2 linked regions of the Anolis sagrei genome follow. Each later gene encodes a partner of the first gene's protein in a complex. Links are inferred from orthologs where the notes say so. Each region holds a gene or a part of one and is shown on either strand. Other genes may lie near its edges.

Region 1 (10,520 bases):
TTTTCACTGGACCTTGGTCAATCAAAGTGTTTGCTCTAGCTAACGTTTACTTAGATACGAGGATCAACAAGGGAAATTTGGCAGACCAAAGAGATCAATATTATCAATCCAAGACTTAGAACATCTAAGGTCATATGGTGAGAGAGCGCCATCTTCTGACCACTTAATGTAAATAGCAGGCAATTTCAGAAAAGCATTATCCTAGTGATTCCCTTCATGATTTTCATATTAAGAAATAAGTTATAATGAAGTGAAAAGGCTGAATTAACTAAAGGGTATTGTCTTGATCAGATATTATATTATAAGCATATAAAAGTTATAATTCAATTAGATATTTAAGGAATAGAACTTATAAGAGTCATCTAAGGGTAACAGGTGAAGGTTGGAATACATTATATAATCAAGCAGATGTTTGGTTTCACAAAGTGTCTGCCAAGACCTGATAAAGATGTTTTTGTCAACTATACATGGAAACACCTGTTAATGATTGTACTGTGTAAATGTCAGACACTTTCTGCGCATGTGTGGAAAAGTTGATTTTATGCTATAAATACTGAAGCAATTTAGACCTCAAGAGTGACAGCCCTTTTTTCGCTGTCCAGGCCTTTATTTCTATCTGCAGAGATAGAAATAAAGGCCTGGAAATCGGACATGCTGTCTCTCCATCCTCTTCCTTCTCCTAAAGCACTCGAATGAATTTCCGGGTAACATATTCCGCAACAAAATGAAACCACAGATATGAGTTCTGCAGCTAAAGGGGATCCTTCTAACATATTGGTATTGCTGAGAACTATATTCCTCAATTTGCGAGCCTCCAGCTGTTTGGGCCTCAAACTCCCCAAAGCTCCCATTGCCAGCTTGTTCAATTGCCAGGAAGTCTGGAAGTTGGAGGCCCAAACAGCTGGAAGGTGCTTATTCTAACACATCTGCATGATCACAAGGGAGGAAGCAGCTTTACCCAATAAGCCATGGAAAACCCGTGGACCAATCTTTGTAGGCATGGGCTGCCACTCCTCCTCCTCATACCTACTTTTTAACATTGGCTTCACCACTGGGGATCCGGCGCAGTTTCTTCTTCTTCAGGATCTTGACCGCTCTCCTACAGAGGGTTTCGGAGTCCAGCATCTCCTTGACTTTGCCATAAGACCCTTCCCCCAGCAAATCCCCCATTAGATATTTGCCAATGAGCTTGGCTCTCTTCCGCCGGGGCTGATAGATCGCTTCTGTGGAATCAATTCGATGGATAAACATGTCCATGCCTACCAACATCAATTCGCTTTCGACAAACATGCCTAGCTGCTGGGGCTCCAGATCCATCTTGGACTTCTTTTTGAAGGAAAACTCTAAACTAGTAAAACAGATGTGTGTCAAAAAACTATAAATCCAGTTTCCTGGTGTATCCAAGTCCCTCCCTTTTATATCCAACTTTTGAGTGGAGGGGTGGGTATGATAGGACACGAAGGAGACAGATTCAGCAGAGGTAAGTCAGTAAGAAGTTGTCCAGAAGATTGTACAAATGGCTTAATTTAAAAATGAAAAATACAACTCACAAGAGGTTCTGAGAATTCTTCTGACAGCCCAACAAGGTCCTGCAGAGATCCAGCAACTTATTCCAATACCACAGTGCCTCTTTTAAAGTACATGTGCATGTAAGATGGATAAAGGGGGGGAAATTAAGTTTTTTTCCCTCCTGTTCCGTTGAGTTAGCTTTAACTTTCAGATGTTGCTTTGTGCTGCAAATCTTCAGGCAAGCCTGTTTTCCCACCTTTTGAAGTCCTCCTTTGCTTGACACCTATGCCATCCTTCAAATGCTGGCCATATTTAAAATCAAAGCAGCAAATTAGCTCCTGTATGGGGATTCCATCGCCAGGAGGGAATAGTGGCTTCCTCTGTCAATGTGAAGGACCGCAACCAACTACTTCCGCTGATTTCGCCACACAGGTATAATGGCCTCCTGGGAAGGGCCCTCTCTCTCAGCCGTTGGGTAACTGGAACCAAGTCTCTCTAAAGGAATTGTCAATGCCGATGTCAACAGGGTCAGCAACAAAAGTTTGAGGCCTTCCGTGCCTAGTAGTAAGTACTTCCAGGGGCATCCTTCAACAGCCTGGGGTCAGCCTGACACATGATGTGTCACCCCAGTGCTCCAGATGGCAAAGCTTTTAGGCAGGCAGGAAGGCAGGCAAGAAGTACTCACATCTCCCAGCATTAAGCTCCCACCACAAATGGAGAGAAGGCCAGAGCAAACTCAAGCTTAAGTGACTCAACCGATTCTCTCAGATTAAGACACTATACTGCTCCAGGGAAATGGCCTCTGAACAATCTTCATCAACCCCAACATTTTGCAGAAGGGGCTGATTTGCAGTAAGGCCCACTTCCCCTTTCCCTCCAATCTAAGCAAGAAAAGGTAAAGTAACACTAAAAATGGGAGACAAGAACAACAGGGAGAACACTGGACTCCCTACCTGGACAGGTAAACTCAACAGTCAGGGATCAAGAGGTAGGAAGAGCACAAACACTGATCCTGTCTTCCCATCTTTTCTTGCCTACCTTCAATTGCAAAAGGAGTTGTTACACTTTGGGATTTCTTTGCATGCCAAAAGCTCTGGCACCTGGAGAAGCTAAACAAAACAATAAATAAATATATCAAAGAGTGGACCTTCCTTGAGATAGAATGGCAACAGGAAGGGATTTCCACCCGACATGCCTCAACTCAACAACAGCCTCAACTCAGTAATATCCGAGGGTACCGCTCAGGGAAGGAGTTTCTCTCAAACAACAGTCTGCTATGAGAGGAAAACATGTAGCTGACTAAATCCCAAAAGAGGCTGTGCCACTCAGCAGAAATTAGGGGAAGAACATAACTGAACAGAGGACAAACAACAGAGACACAGAAACACCAACAACTGAGGAAGGACCAACAACGATCTGGGAACAATGAATGAGGCCACTCCAAACACCATGGTGATTTCCAAGAGCAACTGGGAGTATTAAGGGGGCGCACAAGAGGAAAGGAAACCTGATCCTGAAAGGGGAAGCAGAGGGCAGCAAAGGTGATGAAGGCCACAATCCTTTCTCTACTGAATCTGGGAGAAAAGCAACCCAAGGGAGCAAAATGAACAGAACAGGCCTTTGCTGTGCTATAGGAAACCAGAGTTGGATTTGCATCCAACACAACTGAAGTAATTTTCCCTCAGGAAGGTGGGCCACTAGTTAGGGCAACACAAACACACCCACAGCCTCTATCTAGTTTTGTGAAGGGATAGATAGATACTATAAATAAGAAGGCTCTGGATGTGTGTATGTGTATGTATATATGTGTATACACACACACACATATATATACACACACATATATATTGACCCACACACATACACGCACGCACTGTATCTAAAAAGCTTCAGGATCTATTCCTCTTCTGCCCCAAAGTGGTGTCCAGTGAAAGGCCTCCTCTTATACCTTTGAAAAATAAGAACAAGACGACCCAAACTGCTCACTGAAACCCTCTCAGGTGCCTCTAAGCAAGTGCCAATCTGCAGACCTGCAGGAAGCGGGGCCGGATGAAAACAACCACTCCTCGCCAAGGAAAGGAAGCCCTTGGAGGCCACTACGCACACAGGATGCCACGAAGTCCAAGAGCGGCCAAGGGGAGCCTCGCTCGAGGCTGAGGGGCCGGAGTGGCCTACTTTCTCCTCACCGCTCTCCTCAAAATCCACGCAAAGGAGAATGGCAAGCAGGCCCTCAAGCGCTCTCCTTCCAATTAGGTAGATAAATACAACCCGCCCTCTTTAGACCCCCGCCCCCCAAAAGGGCGTCCCTTTATTTCCCCCAAAAAACACCTCGCCCTTGCCTTCCTGCCGCCGCAACTAGCACGCCGCCGCCATTTTGTTTACTTCCTCGCCTCCCCTTTCGGCGCCTGCGCACTCGCTCGACCTGGGAAGGTGGGGCCCGGACAAAGCAGGCGGGCGACACCATTGGCTCAGCCGCGGAGCCCCGCCCCCTTTCCTGCTTCTCCCCTTCCCACCCCCTCTGACTCGTCGGCCCCACCTTTTCTTCCCCTCCACGACTTTGGATTGGCTCTGCTTAGGGAAAAGGAAAGGTCGGGATTGGAAGCGGGGGACAGAGGGGAGAGGAAGGCGCGAGGTGGAGAACTTGGCGACGCGTAGGAAAAGAGAGGCTTTCTGGCCTAGTCGTCGCGGAAGCCTCCTTTGTCAAGCCTCCAAGGACTGTTTGTTGAAGGCGTGCATGATCTGCTTAAGCTGTACCCTTTCCCTCTATACCAGGCCTGGGCTAACATGGGCTTTTGTTCCTTCTTGATATTTTGGACTCCAGCTCCCACAATTCCTAACAACCTAACGGTTGTGCTCCCACAGAGGTTGAGGAAGCAAGCTTCAGATAACAACATAAAACACAGACCAAGAGGAGGTCATTAGCAGCCTGCAGATGGAACAAAAACAAAATTTTCCTGTCCCATGCACAAGCTGTGGAATGTTTAGCTTTTTCACACAACAATTACTCAATTACATCTGCCCCAAGTCATCTCTGGTTGGCAGAAACAGAAGAACGGCCTGCCTCGGGAGCGTGCTTGCTCCATCCATGTTCAACATCTACATAAATGACCAGCCACTGCCAGAAGGGACAGAGAGTTTCATCTATGCTGATGATCGTGCCATTACTGCTCAAGCAGGGAGCTTTGAGATGGTAGAACAGAAGCTCTCCGAAGCTCTAGGTGCTCTTACTGCCTATTACAGGGGAAACCAACTGATCCCTAATCCATCTAAAACACAGACATGCGCCTTTCACCTTAAGAACAGACAAGCATCCCGAGCTCTGAGGATTACCTGGGAAGGAATCCCACTGGAGCATTGCAGCGCACCCAAATACCTGGGAGTCACTTTGGACCGTGCTCTGACCTACAAGAAGCACTGCCTGAACATCAAACAAAAAGTGGGCGCTAGAAACAACATCATACGAAAGCTGACTGGCACAACCTGGGGATCACAACCAGACACAGTGAAGACATCTGCCCTTGCGCTATGCTACTCTGCTGCTGAGTATGCATGCCCAGTGTGGAACACATCTCACCACACTAAAACAGTAGATGTGGCTCTTAATGATCACATTATCACAAGGTGTCTGCGCCCTACACCACTGGAGAAATTACACTGCTTAGCCGGTATTGCACCACCTGACATCCGCCGGGAAGTAGCAGCCAATAGTGAAAGGACCAAGGCAGAGACATCTCCAGCTCATCCCCTGTTTGGGTATCAGCCAGCACGTCAACGACTTAAATCAAGAAATAGTTTTCTTAGATCTACAGAGACACTCGATGGAACACCCCAGCAAGCGAGAGTCCAAAAGTGGCAGGCCCAAACCCAGCACCTCAATTCATGGGTGATACCAGATGAGAGACTCCCCCCTGGGCACTCAGAAGACTGGGCGACTTGGAAGGCGCTGAACAGGTTGCGCTCTGGCACCACGAGATGCAGAGCCAATCTTAAGAAATGGGGCTACAGGGTGGAATCCTCGGCATGCGAGTGTGGAGAAGAACAAACCACTGACCACCTGCTGCAATGCACCCTGAGCCCTGCCACATGCACGATGGAGGACCTTCTTGCGGCAACCCCAGAGGCACTCCAAGTGGCCAGATACTGGTCAAAGGACATTTAACCAAATACCAAATTTGCAAAATCTGTGTGGTTTTTTTTCCTTTCTTTTTTTTCTTTTTCTTTTTAATCTCTGTGTTTGTTTTGCTCTGTTAGAATTGTAATACAATGGTTGCTGATGACACAATAAATAAATAAATCTGCCCCAAGTGTAAACAGATCACTCACATGGGACAGAGGATCCAACAACTTGACCGTATTAAGACCCTTAAGGACATTCAGGAACTTGAGCTCGTCTTAGACACCACACTGTCCTAGACACGCAGCCCACAGCACACCAACATTATGGGGAGGCTCAAGAGGAGATCACCTCAGATATGGACAACCCTCAAGCTTGGAGGCATGTCACCCTTAGAAAGAAACATAGGACCCGGAAGACTCCTCAGAATACTTCTGCCCAGCTGCATTTACACAATAGATTCCAAATTCTCACACAACTAACACTTGACCAAGAAACACAGCATATTGGGGAAGACCAGAATGGCTTAGATACTGATCAGTAACTCATCCTTGATCAGTGTGCAGGGGATAGCCCTGACTGGGACAACACAACATTCACACACAATCATGCAGATGTACCATCCCCAGCCATAGACCAGGTGCAACAGGAACACATACAGGAGAACAATAGGCTCTTGGATGAATCTCAATGGATTGTCCTTGACGAATGCACCGGGGATGTTGAAGAGGAGAACAACACTTTACACCTACACAATTCACATCAACAGGATCACTTTTCTGGGGACCTACACACTACATTGCACAAAAGGGACCCTGTCAATCCTGAAAGTAAACAGATCTTGGTAGTAGGCGACTCCATCATTTCCAGACCAGATGGGATGGCTCGAGAAATATGCTGCCTACCGGGGGCAAAAATACACCATATCACTCAGAGGCTCACCAGGCTCCTCAAGCCCCATCACCGTCCTCCCCTCATGTTGATTCATGTAAGAACCAATGATACTGCTAGGCATACTTTTCAAAAGATCAGAAATGATTTTCAAGCTCTTGGAACAAAGCTAAAACAATCTAATGTACAGGTGGTCTTTTCATTCCTCCTCTCATTTGTAAGACATAGTCCTACAAGGGCCAGAAAAATAGTACAGGTCAATGACTGGCTTAGAAAATGGTGTCAGGAGGAACGGTTTGGCTTCCTCGACCATGGCCTGCTTTTCCAGGAGGATGGCCTACTGGCAAGGGATGGGGTACATCTCACACAAGTAGGAAAACACCTTTTTGCTCACAGACGCGCAAATTTCATTAGGCACAATTTAAACTAGGTCCACCAGGGGAGGGGGACAACAGCCTTGCGAACACTACTTTACCCACAATGACAGGGAACCACCAGAAGGCAAAACGGAGGGCTGCACAAACACAATGAGGACCAACTACCAAAAGCACTATAATCCCAATTAAACAGCTCAGAGGAAGATCTCAGGCGCTCACATGTCTTTACACTAATGTGCATGTGCCGTTACGTCCAGACACTTTAAAATAAAACTTTGATGTGCTGCTATCTAGGTCTGGGTGAACTGCTGGGGTCTTTCTTTAGAAGATTGAGTTTTCTTGAATAACTGAGTCCACTTCAAGTTTGAAACATCAAACAGGGTATTTATTCACAAAATCATGGTAGACTTGGCTCAGCTTATCAACATTACAAAACAAACAGTCAATTGGGGTTCAATAGTTGAGGCAATCCTTCTCCAAAAAGGGTATAACTTTCTCCAAAAAAGGGTATCTCTATAACTATCTACATAATCCTCTATAACTATCTAAATAGTTCTCTTTTAATATCTATCTCTAACTAAATAACTCAATCAAACTCATTTGTTTTCAATCTATGACTCAATTATTCATTCTATCTATCTATCTATCTATCTATCTATCTATCTATCTACAGGTCTCAATTGTTTTTACAATGGTATCTTCAGAGGTACCTGTCTGCCAACAGCACATCATGGATTCTTCCTTAAGACCGAAGGGGCAGGGAGACCTCCAAAATGGCTGTTTCTACCCTGGAAGCAGGGGCAGGCCCAAAGAGATACTCTGGCCAGTCATTGCAGAAAGCCTGCAAACTGGCTTTCCTGCCTCTGTCTGCTAACCTTTTAGGCCTAGCAAAGCCTGCAGTAGCCTGGGATAAACACAAGGAGAGGCTGTTTCCAGCAACTAAAAGGTAATGCAAAACCCATGCTCCTGGGAGACTGAACAGTCCCTGCTTAAATTTCCCAGGATCTGGAAATTTACCACATAAATATATACAATGATAAAACAGTATAAACATTAAACACTCTCAACAAGCAAAACAAGATCGCTGATTGGTCTGTCCAGGACAGACATTTTGTCCTTGTTGTAAGTCTTTAATTGAACTTTCCTGACCTTACCGTCAGGGCAAGGAAAAGTCTTTAGTATGATACCCATGGGCCAAGCATGGCGGGGCAAGACTTTGTCCTTTCATGGTAATAACGAACAAGCAACAATGCAATGTGACTATTGGGGGATATGATATTGGGGTTTCTTACACATATCTTAAGTTTAGCCTTAGCTAACCTTCCTCCCACTCTCAAAATACCCTCCCTAGAAGACTGGCTCTGGCCCGTTCCACGTTTGAGACCAGGCCCGTGATCTCGATAATATCTGATTGCTGCTCAGGCTGCGGCACGGATTTATTGACCTCATACTCCTCCATGATGGAATGCACCAGCTGACCCTTGGCCCCAATCAGGGAATTGTGCAGTTTGGTTGGAATGGAGACGTTCACTTCTTTTATGTTAGCCAGCTCCCTCTGGATGGCCAGGATGTGGTCCTGGGCACCTTTGCAGTTGACCTTCTTCCCAGTTATCAGGATTACCTCCGAGTTGCTGTTTTCTATGGGGAGGTCAATCTTGGTATTGGTTTCCTCTCAAATCTTTTTGATGTTGGTGCCTCCCTTCCCAATAATGTTCTTGTGGAACTACTTGAAGATAGGGACTGGGATGGAAAAGCTGTTTTCAATCAACTCTGCAATAACTTTCTGGAGGTACTTGGCACACTTTTCCACCTCGTTTTTAGGCCCACGCAGCTGCACAATGTTGCTCTTTTGAGATGAGTCAGGGAAGTTAATGATGACCTCTGGGAACTTGTCACAGATCTCTTTGACTTTCTCGCCTTTCTGCCCAATGATCAGGTCTTTTATGTGTTCATTTTCCATGTGAGCAGTCATTCCCAGCAGCTCCTTGCGAGCCAGCTGGACCCCTTGTGGGTCTCCCTCAATCTGGATCAGGTTGTTCTTCTCGTTGATGGGTGGGATGCGGACAGAGACTTCGTGCTGATCCTTGATGTGGTTGATGTTGGCTCCATTTTTCCCTATCAGATGATGGTGGAACCTCTGATCGATGAGCACTTCAGTGTAATCCATGTGACTAAGCAAGTACCGGATGTTCTCTTGTATCTGAGCCTGAGCCAACTCCACTTCTTCGGTGGCTCCTTCTAATGCGATCTTCTCATCACCATCAGTGAATTCAATGTGAACCTTGGGAAGCTGTTGGGTAATCCTGCCAATGTTCTGTCCTTTCTTTCCAATTATAAAATGATGTAACCAGGCTGGGACTGTTACTTCAGCTACCATCACACTCTTTTTCTTTAGGGACCAGAGTCTTTTCTCTGCCACGTGCCTGTTGTTTGGCAAAGTGGGCCTATTTGACTTAAAAGGCAGAGGGGCTATCCAATTTCCCTCTGGACTTCGAGAGACTTCAGAGTCCATAATATCCAAAAACCTTTGTTCATCTTTTGAGAGTGCCGGGGCTTTGTCTCTCTCAGAAGCCTCAAAGATGGAGGAATGCTCTGGAGCTATTCCTTGGCAGCAGACTGAGATGTGGCTCAGACAGCTGTGCATAAGTGTGGGACGTCCACCATTAAGCATGTGTGCTTGGAGTCCAACGATGATGGAGGGTGCATCTTGTTTATGCACACTGGGCCTATAACTGTCCAGCCCAACGGCAGTAGTTGTGCAATAGGTGCACCTGGAGGTCCCTTAACTTGGTCGTTCACGCAGAACAAGCTCGGGCAGTCCGAACTAAGCAAAAAGGCAATGTCCACATCTGGCAGAAAAGCTGATATGGCATTCTTCAGCCTTCGTAGATGAGGATGGGCCTCCACAACTTCTCAGGTAACAATCTGCTTTTTGTTCCAAGGGATGAACACTCAATGAGGTCTGGCAACTTGAACTGTCCCTTTTGGTAGCAAGAGGAAACAACAAAACCGGAAGCTACCCTGCAACTTCTTCCTTCCTACACACGTTGACATAGTGTAGTCGACCGTCTTGGTTTTTAGGTCGAACATTTGGAAGAACTCTGGAGTAGCCAGGGAAGCGTCGCTCTGTGAATCCGAAGCCACATAAAGTCTCTTTTTAAGCCAAGGGCTCTTGGCTGGATACACATCTGCCAGGCAGATGGGATGGCAGACTCTGAACTGATGCGTGTCAGAGCACAGCTCAGTGCAGGCGACTGTTGGAACATCTTCCTACATCGGTAGTGCAGCCTGCTTGTTGGTGGCTTCAGTAGGTGGTGTTTCCTTTGAAGACGTGTCCCCTTTAGTGTGGGAGACAGCGTTGGAGTTGTGCATTGCGGTGCAATGCTTGAGACTGTTGCACCTTTCGCACTTGATACTTTCTTTGCACTTGGATGTGAAATGTGGAGTTGTCCCACAGCACCTAAAACAGATGCCCTGCTTCTGGACTAACTGTTGTCTTTCTTTGTATGGCTTCTTGCCAAATTCACAGCAGTTGGCCAAACTGTGAGGTTTCTGATGAATGGGGCAGAGCACCTCTTTCACCTCCGACCTGGGTTCGTCAGTCTTATGTTGGGTTTCAACCGCCTTTA
Region 2 (10,254 bases), on another chromosome or scaffold:
AAGAAATGTCTGCCAGTAACCTCATACTTTGTGGCCTTGTACTAGAATAACAATTGTGTATTCAAGGCACTTGTTGATAGGTGTAGGATGCGTTCCTGATTTTAAGAAGAAAGAGGTCTTCCTTCACATTCTTATTGATGATTGTGTTTTATTGTTAAAAAAGGTTTTGTGATTATTCAATAATAAATGCACTGAGCTTTTAACATAACAGGATAAGTATGAAACCTTTTTAAAGAATATAATACAACAATCAATAAGCACGTGAAGGCCTCTTTCTTCTTTTACCTAATACATGCTTTCCAGTACCTGACTGTGATCTCAATGTTAAGAAGTCTACTGTCCTTAATTGTGAAAAATAGCTATAAGGAGTGAATTCATTGTAAACTCTGAAGTAATTTCTTTATTCCTAACAATTTTGTGAATTTAAAGAAGAATGTTGCTTTTAAATGAGGTTTTAAATGTCACTATGCTTATCTCGATGTTCTTTTTAATGCTAGGTTTATTCCTTTAAAAGGCAAATTAATTACTGCACAGCAATAGGTTACATCTGGCTCTTCTGAAATTATTAATCTTGCTTTGACACTAATAAGTCAGGTCATAAGCAAAGAAGTAGAAAAAATAGCACATACACCATTCAGGATAACTATTTTCTGGGAAAATTCCTTTAGGGCGTAAGTGTCAGCCTGCTGCTGAAAAAAAAAGCCTTCTGACAATAAAGCCTATTTCATCAGCTCTGAAGAAGTAGGGTTTAGTCCTTGAAACTATGATGTATCATTGTTTTGAAGTAATTTAGTTATATAACCTTAAGTATATTGGTGATCCCCACTACTCTTTAATTATGGGAAAGTGCTATTGTGTATACCGAGCATTATTTAAAATCAGAAGTACTGAACAATCATTACTAAGGCCTGTAACTGCAATGTGAACACTCACAAAAATCAATGAGATATAGTTTCAAGTCTGACTTGAAACTCAAATCTGATAAGTCACAAGATCTCCATCTCCCAAAGAGACCTTGAAAACGTTTGTAAGACTAAACTATCCAGAACCAGGCCTTCTCATGTATTAAATAAGTGACATATTACATTCATTTAACAATCTGAAGGATCTAGTTTTTGAATAATTGATAAACACAGAACTCGACGAACTATATATAGCACCACAAAACAAATGTCAAGGAAAAGCAGTAGTACGAGTAGTACAATTTGTTATTCTAGCATTACAAACATCTACCATTTCAGAATATAAAAAATAGAAATCCTTCCGTGCTCAAACAAACATTCTATATTAGGTATCTAGACATTTTAAGGAGGGGGGCATTTTTGACATTTCATAGAAACAGGCATAGCCTCATGTCTGTGAGTAAGTCTTAAGAAAACAGCATTTTCATATAACACTTGAATAGCTGATGGGTAAATACAAAGGAGTATATTACACAAGAATGTAATGGTTGTAGGTTCTCCAATCTAAATGTATCTGCTTAACAAATATTTACAGAAACACTACAAATATCATGGATCTAAAAACAACACATCAAAGAACCTTTTGATGAACCCATAAGTGCAGGCATTCAGACACACCCTGAAAAACCACCCCATGGATCGATCTATAGCAATGAGGCACTAGAATAGTAAACTCTGCTTCTTGAATGTTAAATGCAAACACACAATATATTAATGAACTAGAGACAATGATTTTGTTTTAAGCAGTACACAGTTGCTAATTATGATTTCTACCAGAATCAAGACAAAAATAAGACACTTCCATCTATACCTCTGATCATGCTTATCAAGGTAATAATATCACCTCAAACAACAAAGTACTGTTTTATTTGAAATGTTACTATACTTAACTGACTTGTCACACTACCCATTGTTAACTCTAAAACAAACTTCTTCTTCTATAAAGCAAAACTTCAACAATTCTGTTAACAGGCTGGTAACATTTTATGAACACCGACAATCTTGTCATCTTACAATCTTGTCACCTTCAGTAACAACTGTGATGTGGCAAATAGAATAACTAAAAGGTTATGCTTCTGAAGTCTGAATTCTACTTAGGTTTGTGAACTAAATCCAACTCTTGGTTCCAAGCAGAACAGATTTACTGGAACAACATTATTTTAATAGTTATATTCAAGTTTCCTCTTCCTGAACTTTAAATAATTTAGTTTGATGAATTTCAAATCATGTTTACATTATTATGCTTTATTTAGTTATAAAAACCCATTTCCATAGCCACGGGGATCTACTAGAAGCCATGAGAATTTTACTACTAGTGCTTTGGAGTGTCCATTATTTTATCAGAATTTTATAATATGACAATCTAGAACATTCCTGTGTAGTATTAAAACAGTTGGATTCAAAAATGTATAAGCCACTTTGCATTAGTACTCTAGAAACGTATCAGTTTAAAACATCAGCAGCTGGTTTATAAACAATATAAACTTTCTCTTACATTATACGTTATCTTGGAATGAATGCTTCAACAAGCAAATCCTGCATAACATTTTGCATGTGAATTTATTTAGGAATACATTTTCATTAACTGTGTAGGCTTCAGATTTAGAAAACCTAACTAAGGCTTAAAATGAACAACATATATTCTTAATACAGCAGTATTATTCTTCGAGCAATTTCACAAGAATTAAAGAAGTATCTTGTATTGATCATCACATACTATTTTTGCAGAGCACTCAAGTGTCATTTCCCCCTTAAGTTTACAGTGGGATGCTACGAAATAAAACAGGCCAATTAAATAGAAAGGAAACCAACACTGTCCAAAAGATCTTGGGAATTACTTTCACTCTTATGATTTCCTATGATGATGCAATGATTTGGGGGGGGGGGGATGACTGAAAAAGTGTACAAGCCTAAGAATTCATAATACATATGGAAATATCCTAGCAGTTCAGAAGAGTGCAGTGAAATTAACTCAAACTGGGCCTCTTCCTGGACAATGCAGTATTGCAAAAGCAAAGCAAATAGGCTTTCATTTTTCTTTGGTGTTGGCTGTATAAAAGGCCATGTTGAAAAAAAACAGAGGGAAAGAAAGAAAGAAAGAAAGAAAGAAAGAAAGAAAGAAAAGGTTACTAATATTTCCGGTTTGGAGTAATCACCTCACCACCTCCCTTCCTCCTTCAATCCTGACATGTTTTGAGATGTGAGCTCCTTCAGCCAAGAAAGTTTATTTAAAAATGGAGGCACTCACAAAGACAACAACGCTGAGAAGGAGGCACTGGGTGTTCCACGCCACCAAAAGGGACGTCTACACTGTAGAAGATGTTTTGGCCTTCAACTCCCAGGAATCCTAACAGCTGGTAAACTGGCTGGGATTTCTGGGAGTAGTAGCCCAATACACCTAGAGACCCACAGGTCGAGAACTGCTGCTGTAGAAGGAAAACAGCCTGGCATTTTTAAATGCTACTTATAATAATTTATATTTATAATAATAATAACAACAACTTTATCGAAGGCTTTCATGGCTGGAATCACTGGGTTGTTGTAGGTTTTTTCATGCTGTATGGCCATGTTCTAGAGGCATTCTCTCCTGACGTTTTGCCTGCATCTTTGGCAAGCATCCTTAGAGATGGGAGTCCCCGGTGGCGCAGTGGATTAAACTCCTGTGCCGGCAGGACTGAAGACTGACAGGTTGCAGGTTTGAATCCAGGGAGAGGTGGATGAGCTCCCTCTATCAGCTCCAGCTCCTCATACGGGTACATGAGAGAAGCCTTCCACAAGGATGATAAAAACTTCAAATCATCCGGGCGTCCCCTGGGCAACGTCCTTGCAGACAGCCAATTTTCTCACACCAGAAGCAACTTGCAGTTTCTCAAGTTGCTCCTGACACAACAACAAAAAATATCCTCAGAGATTGTGAGGTCTACATAGATGTAGCGAAACGTCAGGAGAGAATGCCTCTAGAACATGGACATATAGCCCGAAAAAACCTACAACAACAACCCAATAACAACTTTATTTTTGTACCACACCTCCATCTCTCCAAAGGGATTCAGGGTGGCTTACATATGGCACAAAGTGCCTAAAACAACACATAAAACAAACACACAATACATTACAAGATAAACCAGTAGTATATAAAACAACAATTTGACGCCCAATAACCTATAGTGTCGACTGTCCTAAAAACATGGTCAACTGTAAACAAGAAGAAGAGAAAGAGATAATGCAAGTTGTAGCTAAGAAGCAAGGGCATAAGATGAAAGTGGAGTACGTTTTACTAATGGCTTCTTATGTTTTTTTATTTGTGTCTTTGATGGTTGACGATTTTGCGTTGTATTTTAACATGTTGGAAGCCACTTGGTGGGAGAAAAGTGGGAAATAAATGAAGATTTATTATGATTATGAATCCCCTCAGTTCCAGTTAGGATGTGGAGAAGGTTAAAGGAAGACCCACAGGCCTGGGCCAACTTGGGCCCTCCAGGCGTTTTGGACTTCAACTCCCACAATTCCTAACAGCCTACCGGCTGTTAGGAATTGTGGGAGTTGAAGTCCAAAACGCCTGGAGGGCCCAAGTTGGCCCAGGCCTGGTCTCTAGCGTTCATTTTCCAAACGGCGTTATCTGGCAGCGTCGGCGGCGAGACAAGGTTACCTAATGGAAGGGGAGAGGGAGGAGGGGTGACGACACCGAACGCGCGTCAAGTTCCCGTGAGGACACACCCTGTGCTTTCCCTCAGACAAGGGGCCTCCTCCGCCGCCGCCGCCGCTACTGTCCTCGAAAGGAGGAAGAGGCGCTCCCTTTCCTTCCGAGGCCAGACTAGGCCTCGACGAGCCCTCAGAGCGAACGCCACCCACAAGGCCCGAAGCCAGGACGGTACCTTCGCTGGTGGCGAGGAGACGTCCAAAGGCGCCCTCTCCCTTCTGCCTTCTCTTCCTCCTCCTCCTCGTCTCCTCGTCGTCGTCGTCGTCTGCGGGCCTTCTCGCGACGCCTCGGCCGCCCTCCTCCTCCTCCTCCTCCTCTTCTCCTGCCGGGCTGCTGGTGTTTGCTGCCTGCCTGCTTGCCTAGCCCCTCCCTCCCCCGCCCCGCGCGCCTCCGCTCTTCCCTTCCCTTCCCTTCCCGGCGGCGGATACCAGCGGATGAGACAGCGGACGACGAGAGGCGGCTAAGCAAGAGGGAGCCCGCCAGCGCATTCCGCGCGCTCTCTGCCGCCCCCTGCGGCCGGGAGGGAGAAGTGCCGCCAGCGTTTCCCACGCTGAACTGCATTCCATGGTCATTCGAGACCAGGCGTGGTGTTTCAGATCTGAAGGTGTTTGAGATCTAGGAGGGAGGTGCTAGGCCTGTAGCTGGAGGGGAGGGGGGGTGTTGGTGTGTTAGGGGTTCACCCCCCCCCCCAATTTTTCAGGTTAAAAAAAAATGGTTTACTCATGAATTTTAACTGGTTAACCCAATCCCCATGCTAAGTCTATTAGACACAAAAAATTAAGACTCCCTCCAGAACTGTCAGCACTATTATTATTAATATTATTATTAACTTTATTTGTACCCCGCTAGCATCTCCCGAAGGACTCGATGCGGCTTACAAAGGCCAAGGCCTCAAAACACAACACAACAATATAACACCAAAAGCAAAATTAGAAACAGTAAAGCAATATTGACGACATGCAATAAACAGTACATCAAGACACAATACAAACTGGGCCGGGCCAGAGTAATGGGTACAGGATTAAAAGTGCTGATGTGGCAGGTGGTATACGAGGATTATAGGGCAAGTGCAGTGTGTGGTGTGCAATAATCTTAGTTCTACTAAAAGTGCTTTGAGGACTTGTTATTGGAGATTCCTATTCTGGAAAGGCACATCGGAACAGCCAGGTCTTCAAGTTCTTTCTAAAGACTGCCAATGTAGGGGCCTGTCTAAGATCTTTTGGGAGGGTGTTCCAGAGTTGGGGGGGCCACCACAGACAAGGCCCTGTCTCGTGTCCCCACCAGCCACGCTTGTGACGCAGGCGGAATCACGAGCAGGGCCTCACCAGATGACCGAAGTGAACGTGTGGGTTCGTAGATGGAGATGCGGTCATGCAGATAGGATGGTCCCAAACCATTCAGGGCTTTGTAGGTAAGCACCTGCACCTTGAATTGGGCTCGGAAAATAAATGGCAGCCAGTGGAGCTCCTTGAACAGGAGGGTTGACCTCTCTCTGTAAGGACATAATTGACAATTTATTCCCACTGTCATTGTGCTGGTACAGCTATACCAGAAGCTCCAATTTTGTTTGCTTTGCATTGAATGTTTGTTGCAGTCCTAAGTTTCAGGGACTCTGCAGATAGGTGGCTTCTTTTGGCTGCAATCATAGGGCAAGCCACCTGTCAATTATCGTTAGGTTCCCTGGTCCCGCCCCCTTTGGGTTTTTGGAGGGAATAGGAGCATTTTTGAGTCAGTCCACACAGAGAAGCCTTTCACACAGGACATAAAACGAAAAGCTCCTGTAGAAAGCTTCGTCTTCTACGGCTTGGCCGGGGAGATACAGCCCACAGCTTGGCTGAGGATTTTGCAGCCTTACAGCTCCTTTGCTGAGAGACTTCAGCCAGCCGTCACCGAAACCTGAACTCCTTTCCCCTGGAAGTCTACAAAGCTCTGCTTGGTAAGGGTCACTCACGGAAGCCAGACGCAGTTGGTACCGGGTGCAGGGGCTCCACGCCAACAGAGGCAAAGACAGACTGCCCAGATTAGAAGTTAAGGATTTCCCCATTAGTTAATTACAGTTAAGAAGATAGTGCCTGTTCCCAGTGAACAAGATTGCAAGAGCCAATAGACTGTTAAGAAAGCTTGAAAGTACCTGTTTGTTTTCATCAATAAAGAACTTTGTTGGATTTACTTTAAGCAATCTAAAGACTCTGTTTGGGGGAATCTAAGGGCTTTTAATCTGTGGCAGCCCCCGCATCCCGTTGGGCACACAGAATTTATGTCCTGTCTACAGTCTAATGCACAGGCCCAGCGTGTGACAGCACAGTCATTACTTGCAGTGATAGCCGATGTAGCAAAGCAACCAAGTTTGGGGGGGGGGGGGTGTTGAATGCTCTCATTAAGGAGGCCAGACTTGGTGGAGGTGGTGGACAGGGGCGGAGCTGCAGGCTATTAAAGGCTGCTCTGTCCCCTGCTGTGCTTTTTGCTTCAGCGTGAGCTAGGAGGCAGGTTTCAACCCCCCACACACACCAAAATTTAACCCCCCCTGAAATTTTCAACCCCCCCCCCCCAATTTTCAAACCCCTCCCCATTTTTTTCTGGCTACGGCCTTGGGAGGTGCTGTGGTTTTGTGTGCTTTTATGGTTTTAACGTGAATTGTTTTAAAAAACGGATGATGTTTAATACCGTCTTAATATTTGTATATGTGTATATATTAAATTGCATTGTAATGCAATAGATAATCTATCTATATAAATAAAAATGTAATGTTTGTTTGTGGGATTAACATAACTCAAAAACCACAGGACGAATTGACACCAAATTTGGACAACGTACACCTAACAACCCAATGTATGTCCTTCACTCAAAAAACTGATTTCGTCATTTGGGAGTTGTAGTTGCTGGGATTTATAGTTCACCTATAAATCCCAAAGAGCATTCTGAACCCCACCAACGATGGAATTGAGCCAAACTTGGCACACAGTTCTCCCATGACCAACAGAAAATACTGGAAGGGTTTGGTGGGCATTGACCTTGAGTTTTGGAGTTGTAGTTCACCTACATCCAGAAAGCACCGTGGACTCAAACAATGATGGATCTGGACCACGTTTGGCATGAATATTCCATATGCCCAAATACGAACACAGATGGAGTTTGGGGAAAATAGACCTTGACATTTGGGAGTTATAGTTACTGGGATTTATAAATCACCTATAATCAAAGAGCATTCTGAACCCCACCACTGACAGAATTGGGGCAAATTTCCCACACAGAATCCCCATACTTAAGGCCATCCAGTCCAACTCCCTTCACCAGGACAAGAAAACGTAATCAAAGCCCTCCTGACAAAGAACCATCCAGCCATAGGTATAGTTAGATATATACGATTCACACACACACGTAGTATCATAGATTTGAAAGGGACCCCTAAAGAAGGACAATTATATGTTGCCTGTTCCAGAGTAGGCTGGCAGTCTTTGCTTCTTCCAGCATGCTGACATTTGTCTGCCTGTCTTCCCAAGAGATTTCCAGAATTTTTCGGAGGCAACGCTGATGGAATCATTCTAGAAGTTGCATGTGACGTCTTCCACTGTTCCACCAGGGGCTCCATTTAGCTGGATTTACACTTATTTCTCATGCCAATAAGGTAGTGGTTCCCAACCTTTTTTTGACCAGGGACCACTTTGAAAAGGGAACACTCTCCAACATTAGTACCAAAAGGGCTACAAAACAGTTTTTGGTCAACTTTAGATTCGTTTTGGGATTCTGATTCAGATGATTTTCGTCCTCGTTGCCCACTGGTGGTCCACGGCCCACAGGTTAAGAACCACTGCAGTAAGGCAGGCATGTAGCCGGGGGGGGGGGGGGGGCTTGAGGGGCTTCATGGTGGTTTGCAAAAAGGTGGTGCATTATTTAAACTGCTATGTTTATTCATATCATGATCTGATCACTATACTCAATATATCCCATATGCATGGGGGTATTGGGGTAACGATACTAAAGGTTTGCTAAAGTAGACCCTCTTTCACTCAGACTCAGCCCCCCCCCCCGAAACAAACTCAGCCCCCCCCCCCCCCGAATTGAAGTCCTGGCTACAGGCCTGCAGTAAGGTAATGCTCAAGATCCTGCAAGGTAGACTCAAGATCCTGCAAGGTAGACTCTCCAATGCATGGAGAGAGAAAGTTGCCAGATGTAAAAACTAGATTTAGAAAAGGCAGAGGAACGAGAGACCAAATGGCAAATATCCGCTGGATAATGGAGAAAGGCAGGGAGTTTCAGAGAAGCATCTATTGCTGTTTTATTTACTATTGTAAATCCTTGGACCGTGTGGATCATAATAAGTTCTTGGTGGTATGAGAATACCAAGCTACCCTGTCTGTCTCCTGAGGAATCTGTATAACGATCAAGTAGCAACATTAAGAACATACCACAGAACAACAGACTTGTTCAAGATTGGGAAAGGAGTATGGCAGGGCCATATTCCAGGAAATAATACCCAACTGCTCACTGGAGGGAAGGATTTTAGAGGTAAAAATGAAGTACGTTGGTCACAAAATAAGACAGGAAAGGTTGGAGAAGATAAGGATGCTGGAGGAAATGGAAGGAAAGGGGAAGAGGGGCCGAACAAGGGCAAGATGAATGGATGGTATCTTGGAAGTGGCTGGCTTGATCTTGAAGGAGCTGGGGGTGGCGATGGCTGACAGGGAGCTCTGGCATGGGCTGGTCCGTGAGGTCAAGAAGAGTCGGAAGCAACAACAAAAACACACTTAAGAAATGTACCTGTTCCAACTTACATACAAATTCAACTTCAGAGCAAACCTATAGAACCTATCTTGTTTGTAACTTGGGGACTGCCCGTATATGGTCATTATAGACCCATATAATTCAGTTCAAATCTCATAGGGGTCTACACTGGCCATATCATACTGTTCAAACTGCATTCTATGGCAGTGTAGATCCAGCCTAAGGGTGCCTCTACTATAGAACGAATGCAGTTTGACATACCTGAACTGCCACAGCTCAGTGCTATGGAAACATGGGAGTTTAGTTTTGCAAAGATCTTGAGCCTTCTCTGTCAAAGAGTGTTGGCCATTAGCATTAAGTCACAGCCGTTGAAGTGGTGTCGAACTGCGTTCAATCTACAGTGTAGATGTACCCTTAGAGGGATCCGCGAATTGCACCAGATAACACCACGGGTGCACCTCTACATTGTAGAATGAGAATGTGGATTGCGATCTTTTACGTGCTAATCTGGAAATAAACACCATTGAATTCAATGGTTCCTATCATTCCAAGTAGACTGATTTGAAGTAGATTGCAGTTTTCACTGAAATAAAACGTTACGTAAAAATGCTTCATTTTGTTTGGATCATGCCCATTGTTTTTACCGATCCCTTTACAAGAAGAAAAGGTAGTTGGATAATTCACTTTCCAAAACAGACTGATAACAACGTTTTCACCTCTGTGAGGGCGTTCCTCTGCAGGTGTGTTTCACTCTCCTGGGACTCAGGCTGTTGTTTTCAATCTTTCTCCACTGTATTTGTGAGAGGGAGGCCAACGCTTTCAAAGGCAACATTGCAAGGGTGTGTATGCATGATTTAAAACACTATTAGG

The links.
Region 2: the proteins of serine/threonine-protein kinase STK11-like (region 1) and CAB39 are in contact, whole or in part, in a crystal structure (PDB 2WTK), measured with the Homo sapiens proteins. The link is inferred for Anolis sagrei from reciprocal best matches to the Homo sapiens genes STK11 and CAB39. Residues at the interface, in NP_000446.1 of Homo sapiens: Gln100, Arg103, Arg104, Glu165, His168, Ser169, Gly171, Leu201, His202, Pro203, Phe204, Ala205, Ala206, Asp207, Asp208, Phe234, Arg301, Ser307, Arg310, Lys311, Lys312; in NP_001124321.1 of Homo sapiens: Gln109, Gly111, Thr112, Lys196, Leu197, Leu238, Asp239, Arg240, His241, Phe243, Met246, Ile250, Val280, Ala283, Asn284, Pro285, Glu317, Gln318.

What each region holds. Positions count from the first base shown.
Region 1 is NC_090035.1:55,404,000-55,414,519, forward strand, and holds the start of serine/threonine-protein kinase STK11-like, read right to left. Parts: upstream 3,923-10,520; 5' UTR 1,318-3,922; coding exon 1,031-1,317; intron 1-1,030. UniProt on the Homo sapiens protein: Tumor suppressor serine/threonine-protein kinase that controls the activity of AMP-activated protein kinase (AMPK) family members, thereby playing a role in various processes such as cell metabolism, cell polarity, apoptosis and DNA damage response.
Region 2 is NC_090023.1:228,949,642-228,959,895, forward strand, and holds the start of CAB39 (calcium-binding protein 39), read right to left. Parts: upstream 5,047-10,254; 5' UTR 4,838-5,046; intron 1-4,837. UniProt on the Homo sapiens protein: Component of a complex that binds and activates STK11/LKB1. In the complex, required to stabilize the interaction between CAB39/MO25 (CAB39/MO25alpha or CAB39L/MO25beta) and STK11/LKB1.